Linked DNA regions of Callithrix jacchus. The protein of the gene in region 1 interacts with the protein of each later gene in a pairwise test. Links are inferred from orthologs where the notes say so. Each region holds a gene or a part of one and is shown in the gene's direction. Other genes may lie near its edges.

Region 1 (3,073 bases):
CCACGCTTCTCTGTATGATCCCTGTGCATTCAGGTTCTCTTGTCTGGGAATCTTCTAAACAACTGTATCCACCTCTCCTTTTGCCTGCTTCTCATTTCTGTCCCTGCAGATTTACCATCAGCTCCAGAGAAGGTCATTATTGGGATCCTGGGAATCATTTGTCTTCTCTTAATGGCCTCTGTGATAACGATAGTTGTTATTCCCTGTAAGTCTATTTTAGAAGATTACAAGGAAAATTCTCTCATTAATAATTGAATATGCCCCTAAACATTTCATATTTTCAGGGAATAGTATTCTCATTGTAATGTATATATTTGGACTAAATGTGGAATGGTTATTCTGAATTTGTCAAAGAATAAATGAAAGAATGATTGTTGAAAGCATTTCCTTCTGATTCAATTGTGTGTATATATTTTTATTTCATAACTCAAAAATGAAGGGGTCTGAAAAATCTTTCTGAGAAAAGAAATTAATTTTTGAAAGTAGTTAAATCACAAACTATAAGAACTATACGAGATGGTGAAATTTGGTTCTTTAGGTCTTTGAAATACTTTTGTAAAAAAACCATAATTACTTTATCAAAATTTTTCCTAAAATCAATTTTATTCTATATTATTCTAACTCTAAATAATATAACGAATTTCAAACAAAAACTAAAATTTTTCTGATTGATTTAGATGCTAATTTTTACAGATTACTTTATTTTTTTCTAGCTACATTAACACAGAAGCACAACAATTCTTCCCTGAATACAAGAACTCAGAAAGGTACATAATAATTTTTAAAGTTCTAATATTGTACAGTTTTCTCGATCTTAGGCTGTGCAAAAATAGAATTTGGGGGCTAAGCGCAGTGGCTCATGCCTGTAATCCCAGCACTTTGGGAGGCCGAGGCTGGTGGATCACGAGGTCAAGAGATCAAGACCATCCTGGTCAACTTGGTGAAACCCCGTCTCTACTAAAAATACAAAAAATTAGCTAGGCATGGTGGCGCGTGCCTGTAATCCCAGCTACTCAGGAGGCTGAGGCAGGAGAATTGCCTGAACCCAGGAGGCGGAGGTTGTGGTGAGCCGAGATCGCGCCATTGCACTCCAGCCTGGGTAACAAGAGCGAAACTCCGTCTCAAAAATAAATAAAATAAAATAAAATAAAATTTGGGGTGATAAATAAGTTATAAAAATTGGCAATAAATGTTCATAAATAAAGATGAGGGTATTACCTTGTCATTAACTATAAGTAAAATCACTATACCTTCTTTTGTCTGTTGCGTTCAAATTCTTATTGCTGTAATATGATAAGATACAAGTTATTTACTATTTTTTTTAAAGCAGCTTGGTTTGTTCATTGATTTTCAAGACACGTATAGAGTGGATTTTTGTTTGCTGGTTTGCTTTATATGGGAACACAATTAGGACATGAGAGGCTGACCCTTTATTGTGCATGTGTGTATAAGTGACTGGGTATTTTAAAAGTATGTATTTACCAGCCTGTGAGGATGGATAGATATGTTGCAGACATGTAGCTTTATGCCTTTGCAAGTATGTTAAATAATTTTTATTTTAAAAATTCACATTGTTCTGGATAGTAATTCCTGCTCTTTATTTAGCATATCGTTGTGACCATTGTCCAGAGGAGTGGATTGTGTATTCCAACAGTTGTTATTACATTGGTAAGGAAAGAAGAACTTGGGAAGAGAGTTTGCTGGCCTGTGCTTCGAAAAACTCCAGTCTACTTTCTATAGATAATGAAGAAGAAATGGTAAGATGTAAATGTTTTAAACACTTTACGAAAAGCTTATTTCAGTCAATAGCATATTTGTAACATATTTGTAGAAATCATATATATATATTTAGCTTATATATTTTAAAGTCTGTGTAATATTCAATAGTTTGACTTAATGATGTTTTAAAATTTGTATACTGCTAATGTACTTTTGAAAATTTTCAGTTTTTGCTTTTCATGGAAAACCATGCTTCTGTAAATGCTTTGAACCCACAATAAATTTTGCTATCTAATTTTATCAAGCAAGATATGATCTGGTCATGCAGGTTGATCACAAAGTGAATGAACTCACGTGATACAAGTCAGATCAGAAAACAGAAGTTCCAGCTCCAGCAGTTCACCCTGTGCGTGCCCTCATCACTTATCCTGGCTCCTCTCTGAAACACTGTCTTGATTTATAACGTTATAAATAATGTTTGCCTGTTCTTGAATTTATATAAAGGGAATAATACAGTGTGAATTTTCATGTCTGTCTTTTCCACTCCTGTCTGATATTTGTGCAATTCCTTCATATTATTGCAGTTACCAGTCGTTTGTTACTGTTCACTGCTATATATATACAAAGAACACTAACAATCCATTCAGTCCCGTGTCTCTGGATGGGGAAGTGAGCCTCATGTCCTCAAAGACAAAGAGGAACCTGGATGGTGCACTGATAGTCATGGGGTCCCTTTGCTGATCCTCCTCACCCACACTCATCCTGGTGTCTATTGGTATCAGAAGGAAGCACTTCCTCTGGCTCCTAATTGGTAGCAGATCTCCTGGTAGATCATCCTTGCCTTACCTGGCGTTGTGGAGGGGACTCTTCCTCAATACACAGTGGAAGTGAGCTTTGCTGAGCCTCCTCCTTTTGCCAGGTCAAGTGCTGGGAAACAGCAGACCTATGTCACTTTCTTCTGGGTGGAGAACTTAACATGCTCCCTTGGACACTTGGTTGATCCCCAATGCTAGGGTCCCAGACAATTTCATCTTTCTCTTTCCAACTTTCAGAGTTCTCTATTGCTTTTGTCTTTCGTTAATCCCAGAGTTTAAGTTGTTTTTAGTAGGGAGTAGCAGAGAGGAAGTAGCAGAGAGGGACATTTCTATACCACCTGGTAAGGACCACTGTTATTCCACCAAACCGAATCAGATGAAAGTATAAAAGTGAGGGTTTATCTAGTTAAAGAAGGTGCCCAGAAAACCCAATCTGTAGCTTCTATGTCATTTATTTCTGAATGACAACCCCTCTATTCTCTTCTAAGTCTACAACTCTGAGAAATATATAGTACAAAAGTAGGTTGATTTAGTCACAG
Region 2 (3,648 bases), on another chromosome or scaffold:
GCAAACAGGGCGTTGTTCCCGTTAAAGGGGAACGCCGGGAGCCTCCCACTGCCCCCTTGCTTCGCGCGCGCGCGGCCCCGCAGCGCAGCTTTGGCGACGCCAGCAGCGGAGCCAGCGCACCCGAGTTTGTGCTTGAAGCCATCCTTAGGATCCGGACAGCTGTTCCTTTGGGCTGTAAGTGCTTTGGTGGGGAGAGTGGAGCAGATGGGGAAGAAATGTGGACATCTTTCAGAGAGGGTGCCAGAAAGCGCAGAGCAGGCGCTGGTTTTTGCCGGCTCCTTGGGGCTTCTGTCGGGGCCACAGGGTCTCCGGTCTGCCCTGTTTCCTTCCAATGGGACTTGGAGTAATACAACGAGGAGAGCCTTTATGGTCTGTAAGCCCTTACAGGGCAAGGGTGATGGTGCTGGTGTCTGGATAGAGCATAAGGGCGGCCCAGTTTTCGCCTTGCTGAAGAGGCGTCGACTCTGGGACGCACTGGCAAAACAGTCCCTGGGGCGGACATCCCGAGAGTGCTGAACTCCTGTGGTTCCCCAGTTCCCAGCCTCATGCCATTGGTTTAATTCAAACCCTCTGGGAGTCACCAAAAATCCTTGTTTATTTCTTCCAGTGCATTCCAGAGTTTCTTTGAATGTGATGCTTGTGGAAAGGAACGGAGGGGCCTGGGATTGGGTACTTTGCAAACGGAGTTATTGAAACCTTGTCTCCCTGGTCCTAGACTCCGCCTGAAATGGTCCCCAGAGTCTCAGCCAGATCTTTCACAGCCATGCGTGTCTTCTAACAGGTCACCCCAGCCTTCAGTTCCCCAAAGTCTAAAATGAGGGGTGGGCCAGGACCGCATTACTTCGGATAGGTGTCCTGCCGGCTCTGACCGGCTGGAATTCTCGGACTCAGCCTTTTAGTCTCTGTCTTTCTCTCCCGCCCGCTGGACATCTGCTCCCATCGGTCCTGGCTCCCGGGCTGCTGTCCCACGGCGCCCAGACCGGAGCTCAGGCTTGACGGGGTCGGTGTCCTGGCTTTGAGTGTCTGGGGTGCAGACTGGACCCCCAGGCGAGCGCGTGGGTCTAGAGCAGGAGGAGAATACCCCCTGCCCTCAGGGGCCGCGTGGGGAAGCCCGTGGTGGAGGGGAAGCGCAGGGTCCGGACAACCCTCCCAGGCCATTCTTTCCTTTTCACACTCCCCTGGCACTGCACCGCCTCTCCGGAGCCGCCGGAGTCTGCGCGAGGCTGAGCTGGGCCAGACGGTTCCTCTACGCTGGCAGAATTGGGTGGAAACTTGGAGACTAACGGAATGCGGAGCGCACTGCGGTCTGGGAAACCAGCCTCCTCGCCGCTGTCTCCCCCACCGCATCCCGCGGGTGTCTCCAGGTCTCAGACGGAAATCTGGGCGCCTACCCGCCTCACTCCTACCTCCACCCCATGGGGGAATTCACCCTCTGAACCGGGGTCTCGGAGAACGTGACCTCTCCCATTCCCGGGAGGTCCCCGGGAGGCGCTCGGGGTAGGTGGAAGCGTGCGGTGGCCTCCGCTCATATTTTCTGGAATCCCCTCTGTTCCCGGGATGATTTTATACGTGCACGCCGCCTGATTTGTTCCAAAAGCAGATGTACCCTTGCAGGCGGGCCCGGCTAGGCGCTGGGCGCTGGTCCTGCAGGCGGCTGCTGCCCCCTCTCGGCAGCGGGCGGCGCGAGGGCTCCAGACCTGCGCGGGCGGGCTGCAGGCGCGGGGCCAGGCCTGGCCTTCCGCTAGTGCGCGGGACCCTCCCTCTGCGCGCGCCTCCCTCGCTCGGCCCAGTGCGTTCGGCCTCACGCCCAGCGTTCTCCCCGCAGGCAGAAACTCCGCTGAGCAGAACTTGCCGCCAGAATGCTCCTCCTGTTGCTGGGTATCATCGTCCTCCACGTCGCGGTGCTGGTGCTGCTGTTCGTCTCCACGATCGTCAGCGTGAGTGCCTGGGCGGGAGGCTCCCTGCGCGGCCCGCCCTTCTCTATCTGGGTTCCCAGCCCTAGCTCCCTCTGGTTCAGGACTGTGTTATTTGCAGACAGTTGGAAGTCTCAGACGTCCCGGGGAAGTTTCTGGCAATCTGCCCGCTTCCAGTTGCTTTGAGAAAAGGAGAGCAGATTCAGCGATAGGAAGGAAGCGAGAGCTGGGCTGCGTTAGCTGCGCAGGCATCTAAGCCAGAATAACCTCAGAGCAGATCTAGGCTAGTCCCCGATCTTCATTTGGTAAGATGGTTTAGCATTTTTTTTTTGGTCGATGCAGCCTCGTTGAAGAATATTTATGAAAATGTGTGTGTGTGTGTGTGTGTGTGTGTGTGTGTTTCTCCAAACCGTAACTCAGATGGGTGACCTAATTTATAAAACACCCTTTTAGGACTTAAAATTGGAAGGTTAAAATTTTTGGAAGAGAGTTCACAGGTCCCATGTCAGCTTTATGGCATAAGCAGAACCCTTGTTAGTAAGGCTTCCGCTGAGAGGAACAGGCCATCAGAGTAATTTCTGTTACAAAACCATCCAGCCCATTAGATCTTAAAGTTATTTTCTTGGCGATGAAGATGATCAGACATTCAGGCAGTTTTACCACGGTGGCTTTCACTTCTTAATTTAAGGCACGTTTGTAAGCATGATTTTCTAGTCTCCGTGAGAAATAATTATATTGGGGATGTGTGACATTTGTAAGCATCTTCACAGTATCTTCATTGTGCCTGGCGATAATAATGGCAGACTGATAGGAGTTATAAACAAAGAAATAGGGCCAGAGAGGTGGGCTTGGGGAATGATCCCCAGAGATACTGGGACAGAAATGTCTCAGGAGATTGAGTGTATGGCTCCTTCTACTATAGTAAAAATCTCTACACATAATTGTTTCCGTGTGCATGTGAAACTTTTCCATTTACAAAGTGCTTTTAAGTCACCAAACATTGGCTCTTACCATGCAGTGGTCGGGGGTAGCCAGGTGGATGAGGGTGCTTTTCACCATCCCTGGGGCTTTTTCCTTCCCCCTCTCCTTCACTCCTCACTCCCTTCCTGACTCAGGATATCTGTCTGGTTCTCTCTAGCAATGGATCGTGGGCAATGGGCACTCAACTGATCTCTGGCAGAACTGTAGCACCTCTTCTTCAGGAAACGTCCACCACTGTTTCTCATCATCAGCAAACGGTGAGGCTGGTTTTGTGCTCCATGAGCTTGTCCTTAGATGCCTGTAACGCGTTTCTTGCTCCAGACCTGGAAACGCTTATTGGGAGACACAAGCCAGAACATTGTTGCTGGGGTGGGGTGGGATGTGACAGGGAGCCATGAGTCCAGGGCAAAAGGGGAGAGGTGGTGATCTCGCTGGGGAAGCTGAGATCCTGGGCAGCAATGTGATTCTCTCTACCTAGAAACATGCCCTTAGTGGGCTCCTGATCACTTGGGATAATGCCTTTTGTGATTAAAAAAATGTGAACCTGGGAGCTGTAGAGGTGGTATGATAGCTAAACCTCAGGCAAACCCCCTTGGGACATCTGATCAAACGTGTATCTCTGGTTTGGGGGTTGTCTCTATTCAGAAATGTCCTGCTGCTTTCTGCTGCAGTGACAGTGGGGCTGTCTCACCGTACCATCAGTTACATTAGACACAAGACTAATGGCCTTTCCCTGTCTTGGGCCTCAGTGATG
Region 3 (4,289 bases), on another chromosome or scaffold:
GTCCAACAAATGAGCTATGAGATGTCCAAGGCGGGTGAGGACCTGGGCTCCTGACAGTCCCACAGCCCATTGTGTCTCGAAGGATGCTGCCCTGGGGACCTGACACAATGGCACCTTGGTTGTGGCCATCCAGGCTGGCAGCTCACAGAGGAGCAGTGGGCTTTCCTCATTTCAAATGCCTGACCCCTTTACAGGAGCAGTTAGAATGGCCAGCTCATGGGCATGCTACTTTTGCTTTGGGAAATGGGTCCAGGAATGTACTTCTCTCCCTAGGGACTGAGAAGGAGGAAGAATTGTGCATCGGGGAGAGTGCGGGCCCCAGTGGATAGAAGGGAGCCCCTTGCTCTGCCTGCAGCAGTTGCCAGGGGAAAGCAAGGAGAGTTGGGAGTCTGAGCTGGAGGCTGCGGGGCCAATTCCCTCTTGGCAGGAGAGGATCCGGGCTGGAGCAGATTTTAGGCTTCAGCAATCATACTATACTAAGAGAAAACACAGCAATCATACTATTATTAGTAAATTAAAATAAATGGGCAACTGCTGTATGGTAATACTTGCTTAAAGGCAAAATACAAAAACTAATGAATAGTGAAACAGGAAAACAAAACAGGAAATGCCGGCAGTCAACAGTCAGGCAAAGAACACGGGGCTGGGGGTAGCAGCGGTCCCACCCTCCGAAGGGCTGTGCTGCCCAGAACAGGAGAAAGCGATGCATCTCCTCTGGTAACGTCTTTTCCTGTCCCATGGATTCAAGGCAGACCTGCCCCAGCAATACCACCCACAGCCTTCTCCTGGGGCCGGCGCGGCTGGGAGCAACCTGCTACCCTCAGGCAGACGCGCAGCACCAAGTAGAGAGGCAGTGCATGGTCTCTGCGCTGGCTAGGTGGACGCGGAAGGAGCAGGCGGCCGAGGCCGGTCCCAGCCCCCACGGTAGAACCCCAGCCTGAGGCGGTGGTCCCATTCGGCCAGGAAACCTCCTGGAGGTGTGGGTAACGGATATTAATGCATCCAGCGGAAAGATGAAGGAGACCCAACTTCAAAGTTAAAGCACTGGTGACTGGAGGGGTGCCTCGGTGGGAAGATTTGGGGTCCTGGTTACTGATAGTTATCATTCTTATGAGACGCTGCTCACCTACCAAGCTAGAAAAGCGTGAGGAGCGCTTGACCGAAGTGCTTTTGCCCTGCTTCCCGCAAGAGGTGGTACCCAGGGCTGGAACGCAAGAGTCAGGACCACCGTCCTCAGTTCTGCAGCCCGCAGCCCGCCCTCGAAGTGGTTCAGGGCGGTGCCCGCGGTGCTCGGGCCGGGTCCCCCGGGACGGAGGGGCGGGGCTGGGCGGCGGCCAGGGCTCCTCCCACTTCTGCCTCGGGCTCCCCTGCTCTTAACCCGCGCGTGGGGGCGCCCAGGCCACGAGGCTCCGCGGAGCAAGCAAGAGATCTGCGCGGAGCCTGAGCGGCGCGCGTCCAGTCCCGAGGCCGAAGCCAGCACACCGGCATGGCCCCCGCAGCGGCGTCGGGGGGTAGCACCCTGCCCAGTGGCTTTTCGGTCTTCACCACCTTCCCTGACTTGCTCTTCATCTTTGAGTTTGTGAGTGACTTGCGGTCGGGGAAAGGAGGGGACGGGCTGAGCCCTGCGTTCTCGCGGGCACCCCGCACAGCTGTCGGGCTGGATCCGAGAGCTGCGCAGGTCCTGGGAGCAGTGGAGGTCCTGGGAGCCGCGGGGCAGCAAGGGCAGGGCGGGGACTAAGCCAGTAAAGTCCCCTCCCATCTCTGGTCGTTTGCCCCCTTCTAGACCAACGGAATGAGTGGAACAGTCTACGGGACTATGGAGGAAAAACCGGGTTCGCAACCTGGGTCAGATGTTGGCAGAGGGCCAGGTGGGGACAGTTCTTGGTGCGCCGGTTCCAAAGCTGCGCGTGTGGCCCACTTGGCAAGCGCAGCGCCACCGAAGCTCAAGCCGCCCTTCGGGCGGTTGGGTAGAAGTGCCCGGCTTTTTCAAGGAAGGAGGTTTCATTTAAAAAAAAATCATCAAAAGAAATGTTAGTATTACCAACCGAGATTCGGAGACGAGAGGGAGCTGAATCCGGTTTATTTTCTTCTGGCCTTTTAAAGTTTCACGTATTTGCGACCAATTCGATCTGGAAATGAGGAAACTGAGGCCGTCGTTTGCTCGGCCGTAGTCCTTCTGCCTCTTGTGTGGGGTGGGAGTGGACGAGATGGGCGGGCGAGAGCGATCCGCGCGCCTCGGCTGACCTTGGGCAGCTCCGAGGCCTCTGCACCTGCTGTTGGTCCCGCCTTGCGCACAGGGTCTCCGCCTGAGACTGCGGAAAAGCGCTTCCTACTGAGGGCTCCTGATCAGCACTCACGGCGTCGCGAGGCTGAAGTGACCTCCCTCAGCCTCAACTTTCTGGGGGCCGCTCGCCCTCAACTGGGAGGGGTGTGCTTTGTATATTATGTGGATTTGGTACATCATCGCCTCAGCGACACGTTTTCCGGCACCCCTGCCTCAGAAGCATCGGTGTGGATAGTTGGGTAGGAAAGAAAATGTCGGAGCCTGACTTTAAAAATTGGACCCCAGGTTGTTATTGCCTGATTGGAGGGGAGGGCGTGAGTACCAAAGGGTAGGTCAGGTCAGTTCATCTAAGGAGGGCTTGGGAGCAGGGGTTAAGAGGGCCACAGCTCTGTGAGCAGGGTTGTCATTGAACTTGGGGTGAAAGTCGAGTTGAACCCAAACCTGGATGGAACTAGTGATTTGAAATCCTAGGGATTGGCAGAATCCAAGCAGTTAAATTTAGAAAAATCCCTGGATGCCAATGAACCTAGCTCCACCATTTACAGAGAGCCGACCCCCTCTGGCCTTCTTTTAGAAGTTCAGCATATAAGAAAGAGTGAGGTCGGGCGCGGTGGCTCAAGCCTGAAATCTCAGCCCTTTGGGAGGCCGAGGCGGGTGGATCACGAGGTCAAGAGATCTAGACCATCCTGGTCAACATGGTGAAACCCCGTCTCTACTAAAAATACAAAAATTAGCTGGGCATGCTGGCGCGTGCCTGTAATCCCAGCTACTCGGGAGGCTGAGGCGAGAGAATTGCCTGAACCCAGGAGGAAGAGGTTGCGGTGAGCCGAGATTGCGCCATTGCACTCCAGCCTGGGTAACAAGAGCGAAACGCCGTCTCAAAAAAAAAAAAAAAGAAAGAAAAAAAAGAAAGAGTGAGTGCCCTTGCAAGTAGAAACAGTCCAGTTAGACCTCATCTGCAGGAAAGGGGGCCAAAGGCTCCAACCCAACCCACCAATGCTACAGAGATTACAGGGCTGTGAGAAACCTTGAAGCCATCCACAACTGGCAGCTTGCTCCTCCAGCATGGCTTTTTGGCTTCAAGAGGAAAGAATTTCTTCCTCGCCCAGAAAGCTTCTCTCAGCTGTCTTAGAAAGTCACTTATCCACCTCACCCCTGTTCTCTACCTCCCTTCCTCACTTCCCAGGAGACCCTCAATGCGTAGTCATCTCCTGGTGTCTTCCTCACGCTCTAGGTTAGGGGTGGGCTCGCAGATGCCTGGGAGAGAAGAGGAGAAAGCTGACTCCAAGCCTCTCAGTTCTCCTCTGCATGGACTGTAAATATGAAGCTGTATATATTTGATGTGTGGAAGGAGTAGAGAATTAGAGGATCTAAGAAGGCACTGACCACCCCAGGAGAGTATTTTTTTTAATTATGGAATATTACAACTCAACAACTAAAAGACAACCAAGTTAGAAAATGGACAACGAACTTGAACAGAGGTTTCCACAAAGAAGATATCCAAATGGCCAATATGCACATAAAAAGATGCTTAACATCATTAGGCTTTAGGAAAACAAAACTAAAATCACAATGAGACTGAGCGAGGTGGCTACACCTATAATCCCAGCACTTTGGGAGCCCGAGGTGGGTGGATCACCTGAGGTCAGGAGTTTGAGACCAGCTTGACCAACATGGTGAAACCCTGTCTCTACTTAAAATTAAAAAAAAAAAAAAATTAGCCAGGCTTGGTGGCTCATGCCTATAGACCCAGCTACTCAGCAGGCTGAGGCACAGGCATTGCTTGAACCTGGGAGGCAAAGGTTGCAGTGAGCTGAGATCACGCCACTGCACTCCAGCCTAGGCAATGGAGTAAGAACTCAGTCTCAAAAAAGTAAATAAGTAAATAAATTTTAAAAATCACAATGAGATATCACTTCACACCCATTAGGATAGCTACTATCCAAAAAATGGAAAACATCAAGTATCGGCCAGGATGTGGAGAAACTGGAACCCTTGTGTGCTG

What was found.
Region 2: the proteins of KLRC1 (region 1) and PMP22 interact in binary tests that used the Homo sapiens proteins (3 or more experiments, as listed by UniProt). The two-hybrid records come from large-scale screens. The link is inferred for Callithrix jacchus from reciprocal best matches to the Homo sapiens genes KLRC1 and PMP22.
Region 3: the proteins of KLRC1 (region 1) and MAL interact in binary tests that used the Homo sapiens proteins (3 or more experiments, as listed by UniProt). The two-hybrid records come from large-scale screens. The link is inferred for Callithrix jacchus from reciprocal best matches to the Homo sapiens genes KLRC1 and MAL.

Annotation. Positions count from the first base shown.
Region 1 is NC_133510.1:12,590,958-12,594,030, forward strand, and holds part of KLRC1 (NKG2-A/NKG2-B type II integral membrane protein), read left to right. Parts: intron 1-109; coding exon 110-205; intron 206-713; coding exon 714-767; intron 768-1,605; coding exon 1,606-1,757; intron 1,758-3,073. UniProt on the Homo sapiens protein: Immune inhibitory receptor involved in self-nonself discrimination.
Region 2 is NC_133506.1:81,772,933-81,776,580, reverse strand, and holds part of PMP22 (peripheral myelin protein 22), read left to right. Parts: intron 1-50; exon of another isoform or gene 51-174; intron 175-1,825; 5' UTR 1,826-1,859; coding exon 1,860-1,937; intron 1,938-3,051; coding exon 3,052-3,151; intron 3,152-3,648. UniProt on the Homo sapiens protein: Might be involved in growth regulation, and in myelinization in the peripheral nervous system.
Region 3 is NC_133515.1:5,151,572-5,155,860, forward strand, and holds the start of MAL (myelin and lymphocyte protein), read left to right. Parts: upstream 1-1,401; 5' UTR 1,402-1,486; coding exon 1,487-1,579; intron 1,580-4,289. UniProt on the Homo sapiens protein: May be involved in vesicular trafficking from the Golgi apparatus to the cell membrane. Plays a role in the maintenance of the myelin sheath, and in axon-glia and glia-glia interactions.